Canis lupus familiaris: one gene and its partner. The main gene of each other region encodes a partner of the protein of the gene in region 2 in a complex. Links are inferred from orthologs where the notes say so. Each region holds a gene or a part of one and is shown on either strand. Other genes may lie near its edges. The genes, in order: WDR77 and PRMT5.

The links.
Region 1: PRMT5 (region 2) and WDR77 share a complex: the UniProt entries of both Homo sapiens proteins name them as parts of the methylosome complex. The link is inferred for Canis lupus familiaris from reciprocal best matches to the Homo sapiens genes PRMT5 and WDR77.

The regions. Positions count from the first base shown.
Region 1 is NC_049227.1:41,102,330-41,105,693, reverse strand, and holds the end of WDR77 (methylosome protein 50), read right to left. Parts: intron 2,827-3,364; coding exon 2,718-2,826; intron 2,179-2,717; coding exon 2,110-2,178; intron 1,557-2,109; coding exon 1,397-1,556; 3' UTR 794-1,396; downstream 1-793. UniProt on the Homo sapiens protein: Non-catalytic component of the methylosome complex, composed of PRMT5, WDR77 and CLNS1A, which modifies specific arginines to dimethylarginines in several spliceosomal Sm proteins and histones.
Region 2 is NC_049229.1:3,377,611-3,382,219, forward strand, and holds the start of PRMT5 (protein arginine N-methyltransferase 5), read right to left. Parts: upstream 2,844-4,609; 5' UTR 2,712-2,843; coding exon 2,602-2,711; exon of another isoform or gene 2,575-2,601; coding exon of another isoform or gene 2,516-2,574; intron 1,920-2,515; coding exon 1,801-1,919; intron 1,521-1,800; coding exon 1,405-1,520; intron 1,241-1,404; coding exon 1,106-1,240; intron 720-1,105; coding exon 607-719; intron 443-606; coding exon 393-442; intron 1-392. UniProt on the Homo sapiens protein: Arginine methyltransferase that can both catalyze the formation of omega-N monomethylarginine (MMA) and symmetrical dimethylarginine (sDMA), with a preference for the formation of MMA.

The DNA of each region.
Region 1 (3,364 bases), on a different chromosome or scaffold from region 2:
AAGAATAGTGAAGGCTTTCTTCCCATCTTACCCCAAACCTAGTGACCACATGACTACAAATCCCAATGTTTTTACTTGGGGTCACTGTGACAACAGACCTTATGTTTGGCAAGGGTGAAGCATGGAAGCTTTACTTAAAATATTCTGTCCGTATTCCTTCAAACTGCCCCGTTTCATGCAACTGTAGCTGAGCTAAACTTGCAAAGCACCAAAGTACATAACTGATTATATTTAGTTTCATAATCAGTAATTAACCAGGACTTCTGGCAGTAGCCAGTCCACCAACCCAAGTAACCCAATATTTAAATTCCAACTAGCTACTCTTAAGGGGCTAGGGAAGCACACACACAAATCCTGGGTCATGATATCCTGATGCTTCATATAGTGATATGTCTAACTTCCAAAGACAGGCCAACGAAGCCAACACTTTTTATTTCACCAACTGGTATTTCTGATTTTCTGATGCTGCACTTTAAAATCTTCAGAGTCCACAAAAACAGCATTCAGACCTCCTATGTCCAGAGAATGGGATCCAGAGGCCAGGAGAGGTCAGGCCTCAAGCTGTTTTTCAGTGGGAATCATGGCAGACATTTTTCTCCAAGTCTGTGTCAGTTTTTAACTTAACTGAAATGCCTTTAAGCTCTCCATCATCCCAACTTTTTTCCATGGGATCTATGATAGGAAAACATTCATCTTTCACATATACAATTCCATGGGCCGGGGTTGGAGGTGGGGGGGGGGGCAGGGGGGAGCATAATATAGGCACCAGCCAAAATTTTATACAGCCAGAAAATGCATTTTTTACTCCGTTTAATGGCAAAGAGATGTGCAAAACTATGATGAGTGTCCTGGCTCTTCCTTGAGATGAGCTGGGCAGGATTTTTGTGAATGAAGCACTGCCATGAAAAAGGCAGACTAAGTTCTATAAAAAATAAAGTTGCTCCCATCTCCATGAGTAGTATATAAGCTGCTTCCAAGAATCCAGGGATGCCCCACATCCCATACCTCATCTAGTCATGGCCACTTCCTCATGCACAGCTACATAGGAAGCATAAAACCCTTTTGTGAACTTTGTGGGTTTTTTTTTTTTTTTTTTTTTTGGTGGGGGGAGAACTTGGAAAGACGTTAAGATGGACTTAATTCCTCCCACCGCCAATAACTATGTATCTACAGACACACACTCAGACACACCTACATATCCAATTTTAAGAACGCTGGTCTTCCCTATGACTACAGGATCCCAGAATCCAGCGTCCCTCAGGCCAAGAGACAATGCCTATTAACTGCCCAGATCTGGTGTAGAGCATACTGTAAGGCTCCTGTGTGGTCTCACAGGCTGAGAGGGCAGGGGCAAAGGGATACTCATGGGGGATTCGCTTTTTGTCTTAAATCCAATCTACTCGGCAACACTCTTAGGTCCAAGGGCTGGGAGAGGCTCTGTGGGCAGGATGTGGTGGATGACCTGATGATCCCAGCCTACTGTGGTAAGGAGGGAGTGATTGAGCGGGGACCACGTAGCATCTCTCACAAAGTCTCTGTGGGCTCGGCTTCTAAACCTAAAAAAGAAAAAAGGAAAGTTTGGGCATGGTGAGAGACAAGAGGAAAATGCAAAGGTGGAGAAGAGAGAGAATCCAACACAACCAGGACACCTTTCTGGATGTGTTACATAAACTTCACCATATGCGTGGCAATGTGGTTATCCATAGAGAACCTCATCTCTCACTCGATCCTGCGCCCTAATTCCATATAAAAGTGGTGGCTAAAGAAAGGTAGTAACATGGGCCAGGATCAGAAAGTAACTCCTGGCAAAGAAGAAAGTATAATTCCAGTACTCTGCTGCCTTTCACCCCACAGCAGGCCCATTTCATGTACGTGCCTTGTATGTGAAGAGTGCAGACTGCCCCTTTCTGGGGGACAGCTGCCACCACACCCCTCCTTGACCAGGGATGGAACTGGCTGTGAGTCAGCCCCAGGAAGAGGGAGACAGTCGTGTCAGCCGGTTGCCATTACCTAGTCCCCTTGAGTGAGACAGCGTACTCGGTGCACTTTAATGAAAACAGAAAGGACCCAGTCAACCACAGCTCTTCTCCCCGATTCCTGATGACTTACACCTCAGAAAGGCCACAGTCCAGCACAGCGAGTGAGCAGTCCTCACTGACAGCGGCCAGGAAGGGAACACTAGGAGAGCAAGGGGAGGGTTATGACAGGTAAAGCCATGGTTCCAAGATGAATCCTGCCCAGTCTAGTTCTCAGCCCCCACCCTAACGGGACCCAGGGGAGGTGGCTTGATCCTCACTTTGGGTTAAGGTCTGGCTACCACTCAACTCCACGTTACAAGTTCCTGGGAAAGATGAGGGAAATGGAACAAGCCAAGTTTACAATTATCCTGGCAACTAACTATCCCATCTGGTCCCTCCCTGCAGCTTTAGCAATAATCCAAAAACACAGTTTTCCCACCCAACAGTCTCAGAAGCTCACAATATTCATCATTTTGGGTGCTGAGCAGGAACAAGACCAGCTTTCAGCCATGTGAAGACAGACACTACATCACCCAAAAAAAGACTATGGTCTTAAGAGATCTTTAGCATTCTGAAACCTCAGCTAGGTCACTGTCTGCTTTAAGGAATGACCTAATTGGCTAATGCTCTGCAAACATAAGCATCCCCCTGCACTGTCCCATTCATACCCAGCAGGCCCCTGGGGACAAAGGACAGTACCTGTGTGGGGAGAACACCAGCCCAGTGACACACTGGGAGTTCACGGCTGAGCTGAGGGCACAACTTGCACTCTTGGTGTCCACCAGGGAGACGGTCCCACTCTCATCACCTAGAGAAAGCAGGGAGCCCATCACAGTGGGTAAGAGCATGGGCCCTGGAGTCAGCCAGACCTGGATTTGAATGTTAGTCCCTCAGCCTTACACAAGCTAACCACTCTGTGCATCAGTTTCTTCTTTTGCAAAGTGGGGATAATTAGTCACTGGTGGTTGTGAAAATTAATGAACGAGGTAGTTATTATTTTAACCACAAACTATGTCATCACAGGTACAGCCTCATCGCTGTGAGAGCATGAGAGCTACCCCCACTCTACAACAGAATTCTCTACGTAGCAATCCACTTGTTCTGTTGTGATCCACTGACTTCTGGCTGCACCCAAAACATAGGAGCTGAAGCACATACTCAGGAATCAAATCTACCAGGAAAAAAGTCATCACATTTTGCAAAGTCAAACTAAAATCACTTTTGGATCATTCCACCTTCCCACCTCACCACTGGCAGAATTTACATAATGCTCAGGTGTGCTGGTGAGACTGAGCGGCCAGGGCTTTGTGCTTTACAGGGTCAGCGTGCTCTCATCCTCCCCCTTC
Region 2 (4,609 bases):
TTTTTCTAAGGCATCTATGCCAAAGTGCCTAATGTTTTGTCAATATCAAGGAATCCCTCCTCCTGGGAACCAAGAGGAAGTTTTTCAAAACTAGAAGGGTGCTCCCCGCCATCCCTCCCAGTATCAATCTAGCTTTGGAGATATTCTATTAGTGACATATGCCCTTGCCCCAAAACAACAAGTGTTCTGTGTGCTAACAACATAGCTTTTTTAAAAAATAAAATTCTGCATTTTTATAAAAATTGATAAAGTAATATCTCAAACTGTAAAGTCACCAGAAGTACACCGTTATCAAAAATGCACACACTTCATCTGGCATCTCTGAAACCCCTGATTCTTATTCACAGGAGGTCAGAGAAGGGAAACCTATCCCAGGGCCCTTGTAGACTTACCCACTGCAATCCTCTTGCTATAGTCACACAAGGTCCTGAAGTTGTGCCACCTGTTCAGGGTGAAATACAGGAAGAAAAAAAAAAAAAAAACAGTCAAATACATATGCCCACCAATCGCCATAGCTAGAGAAGACCCCCACACACACAACAGGCTCTACCCTATACTTCCCCTCCCCGTACCCTTTGCCCTGTATAGCAGCAAAAGGAGACATACCACATCCATGTCTTCTCCTCTCCACTATACTCCTCTGTATGTGTACTTGGTGCATTCTCAATTATATCATCTCTCAGGTCCTCTGGAGCCACCAAGGGTACCCGCATCCAGAACTGCATGTGAACAAGTACCCTATTTAGAACTCTATTTTGAACTCATTGGGTCCAGAAAGCTTCCTTCAATTATCTTGATCCAGATTGCAAGTTAACCCTTTTATATGTTTTTCCCAAGTTCTGATTATATGTACATATAAACTTATCTTGTGTATATCCATATGTAAATATCTGCCCTGTCCTTTATTGCAGCCATAAGTTTCTAGAAATAATTGTACATTCTATGTTTTCTAACCCTCTGCTTACCACTTTTAGATGGTGGTGGCCAGTACTGACATTTCAGTTCTGCCAACTGCACCGTTTACTGAATGGCTAGGAACAAGAAGGTACCTAGCACAGCTTGACTACCATAATATTCAGCAGAAAAAGAAGCCCTCAAGCCATACCATGGACGAGTGGTGGCCAGTGTGGATGTGGTTGGTCAAAACCCTGGCCAAGTTTGTGTTATCTTCCTGATTTAGGGGCAACAGGAAAGCTGGAAGACCCAAATATGCCCCAAAATTCAGCTCCTGTAACATTGCCTGGAAATGGAGATCAAGAAGACATGAAGAGTTAGCAACCCAAATAGGTTTAATTGCATTATATTAGATTTACTAAGTTATGGGAGGAAAAAAACTGCTCTCTGCACCCAGCTAGGTTATGGACCTGATCTCTAGAAAGAGCCAGTGAAGTCAAACAGTCTTACCGCCTCAGAGTTCCTGCGGATCTTCTCCACTTTTGAGTCTGGACGAATCCATGGAGAAAGCTTTCCCACAATTAGCGTATTCCAGTCTGCACTCCCCCCATCCAAGAAAGACAAAACTATATGAGGTTCAGTGCTTTACTTGTTCAATTTCTAATTCTTAACAGGGAATAGAGAGTAGAGATGAGAAACAAAGACTTTTTCTATCACAGATGTGGGATAGCCTGATGCAGAATAGAGTAAGGCTTTTTAGCAGGTAAGCAAGGAGAAAACAAGAGTTATCTATGTCCCAGGACTAACCAATATATCCAAGTCAGGAAAGGAGGAGAATGAGGGCACTGTTAAAGCAGAAGTTGTTATTGCCTCTAATAATTAAGGGGCATATGGGATGGTCCCTACCCCTTCCTGACAGCAGTAGGTCTGATCGTGTCTGGGGGCCCGGCCGATTCTTAGCAGGTTCCTGAGTGAACTCCCTCTTGAAACGCGGGTGGAAGACAGGCATGCAGAGGAAATCAAACCTACAACCGCGACAGACCCAGAATCGTCATGTAAAGAGAGCAGCAGTGCCCAGAGATCCAAGCAACTGGATTAGGCTATCTCAATTCTGCACAACCCTTTCTGCTGCCATCAGTCACCCGACTGGACTGCTGAGTTCAGCCTGCCTTGGGGCATGTTACTTCCGCTGCACTGTGCCTCAGTTTCTCCCCAAAACACAAGCATGGAAAAGGAAAAAAGATAAAAATCCACGCCAAGTGGCTTTTCTACTCTGTTGTCACCGGTTTTCCAAGACTGTCACATCCAGATTTGCCTCAGTACCGCCCATGCTTCCCCCCAAGGTTTCTCTTCTCTCCCTAGCCCCTAACACTCTCTCCCATTCTCAGACTATAATCCCGCTCTCCAGGGCCCTGGAGGTCTGTAGTCCTCTTTTTGAGTTTACCTGACAACTCCCCTGACTTTGGGGCTCAGTGGCCACACGCCCCAGCAAGTTTTTTTGTTTGTTTTTCTTTGTTTGTTTGTTTGTTTGTTTCACGCTCCAGGGCCTAAGGCTTCCCCATCCTCCCCCAAGGAGTAATGGTTTCTCCCGCCCTAATCTTACCCACTCCGACCCCCTCACCCCTGCCTTTCGGGGATGACTAGTCTGTCCCTCTTCGTCCCCGAGTTCGGAGCCCGCATTCCGCTTGCGGAGGTCTGGACCCTCACCCCTGCTTGGCCACAGCCCCCAAAGTGTCAGCTATTTCGGGCACGCAGTTCAGGTCCCTCCCGCTGGACACGCGGCTCCCACCGGCACCTCCGACCGCCATCGCCGCCATCTTTTCCCTCGCGCCGTCCACGCCGGGATGCCTTGATATTAGCAGCCAATCACAAAGCCAGAAAAAAGCCCCCGGAAGGCGGAATGAGTCGTCCTAACAACCAGAGCGTCTGCCACTGCTCCAGAGCGGGAGGCCGAGGGGTGGGGAGTGGCTCTTTCCGCCAATCCGCTGGCTGCGCCCGTGACGTACGACGTGGCTCCGTAAGATCCACCAATCTCGGGATGTAGTTTTCGACGAACTTCAATCTCCCATGATGCGCCTGTGTTCGTAGAACTCCGTTGGGGGACTACGCGTCCCATGAAACCCTGCAGCATAAGCTTGAACTATCATCACTGAGCCGAGAGCAATTGTCTCCGGGCCAGTGGCGCAATGGATAACGCGTCTGACTACGGATCAGAAGATTCCAGGTTCGACTCCTGGCTGGCTCGAGTGAGACCGGTGGTTTCCTTATTGCACCTCACGCAACATGGCCTTAGATAGCGTCTTTTAGGTCTACCCCTTTCCTTACACTTTGGGAAGTTTGCTTCGTAACTTTTCACACCTTCATTTTTCAAGTCTTATTTTGGTTGAGTTCTGCAGCCATCTTATGTCGGCTTTTCCTGTTACCTAATTCAGAGATGGTTCTTGTGTCACTGCTCGGGTCCGTCTAAACTGAGAGAACTGAGTTAATGGCTGCTGCTCTTAAAATGGGCTTTGTATGGACCTTAGTGTATTTACAAATAGATTATGACAACTAAGCCACTAATTCCTCAGGTTCTATATCTCAGACACAAAAGGTACACACGCGCGCGCGCGCACACACAACACTCATGGTGAGGAGTCATGAACTGCCTGGAGGAGGGCTGGGAAAACATATCTACATTCTTGTAGAGGCGTGGAACGGAAGGAGAGGAATGAAGCAAGGAAAAACACGGAGAGAAAGGGAATACCTGGAAGCAGGCAGCCCAGAGGTGTTGAGGGCCTGGCAGCGGGGATCGAAAGAGAACACATTACAGAAGGCCCGAAGAAAGCGGCATTGACAGAACTGAGGGGCTGCTAGGCAGGGAGCCACAAGAAAGAGGAGTCTCGGTTCTGGCCTCTCTGTGAGTGAAACAAGAAAGAAAAGTGGGTTAAGGGACAATCAGTTCGGCTTGCAAATGCTGAATTAATTGGACGCCTAGGGGGCGCTGTGTAATAGAGAGTTGGATGAACAGTGTTATGACCTGATGAGATTTGGAAATGGCCAGAAGAGAGGTAGCGACCTCGAAGTAAAGAGTGACCTAGACTGAATGAGATCATCCGGGCCAGTCAGGGACAAGGTCCTTGGAAACACGGAAACGGTGTGGATAGGATAAGAGCCCTGGGTGCAATGTAAGAGCTCCAGAAGGATGAAAGTCCAAAAAGCCAAACAACGAAGAAAATGCTTATGAAGCCTAATGGGGTTGTCTCATCTTAATCTTCAGTTGATTTTTGCAGATATTACTACAACAACAACTATTATTACTAGACTTTATTTCTTAAAACAGTTTTAGATTTACAGAAAAACTGCAGGTAGAATGCGGAGTTTCCATCTGCCTCCCCACAGGTTTCTCTGTTATTAACATCTTTTTTTTTTTTTTTAAGATTTTATGTATTTATTCATGAGAGACACAGAGAGGCAGAGACACAGGCAGAGGGAAGCAGGCTCCGTGCAGGGAGCCCGACGTGGGACTCGATCCGAGGTCTCCAGGATCATGCCCTGGGCTGACCGCGGTAAACTGCTGAGCCACCAGGGCTACCCTGTTATTAACATCTTAGCATGTATGGTACATTTATTACAATTCATGAGCCAATATTGATACATTATTATTAATTAAAGTCTATAGTTTATTCAGAATTCCTTATTAATTACCTACTGTCCTCTTCCTGTTCCAAGATCC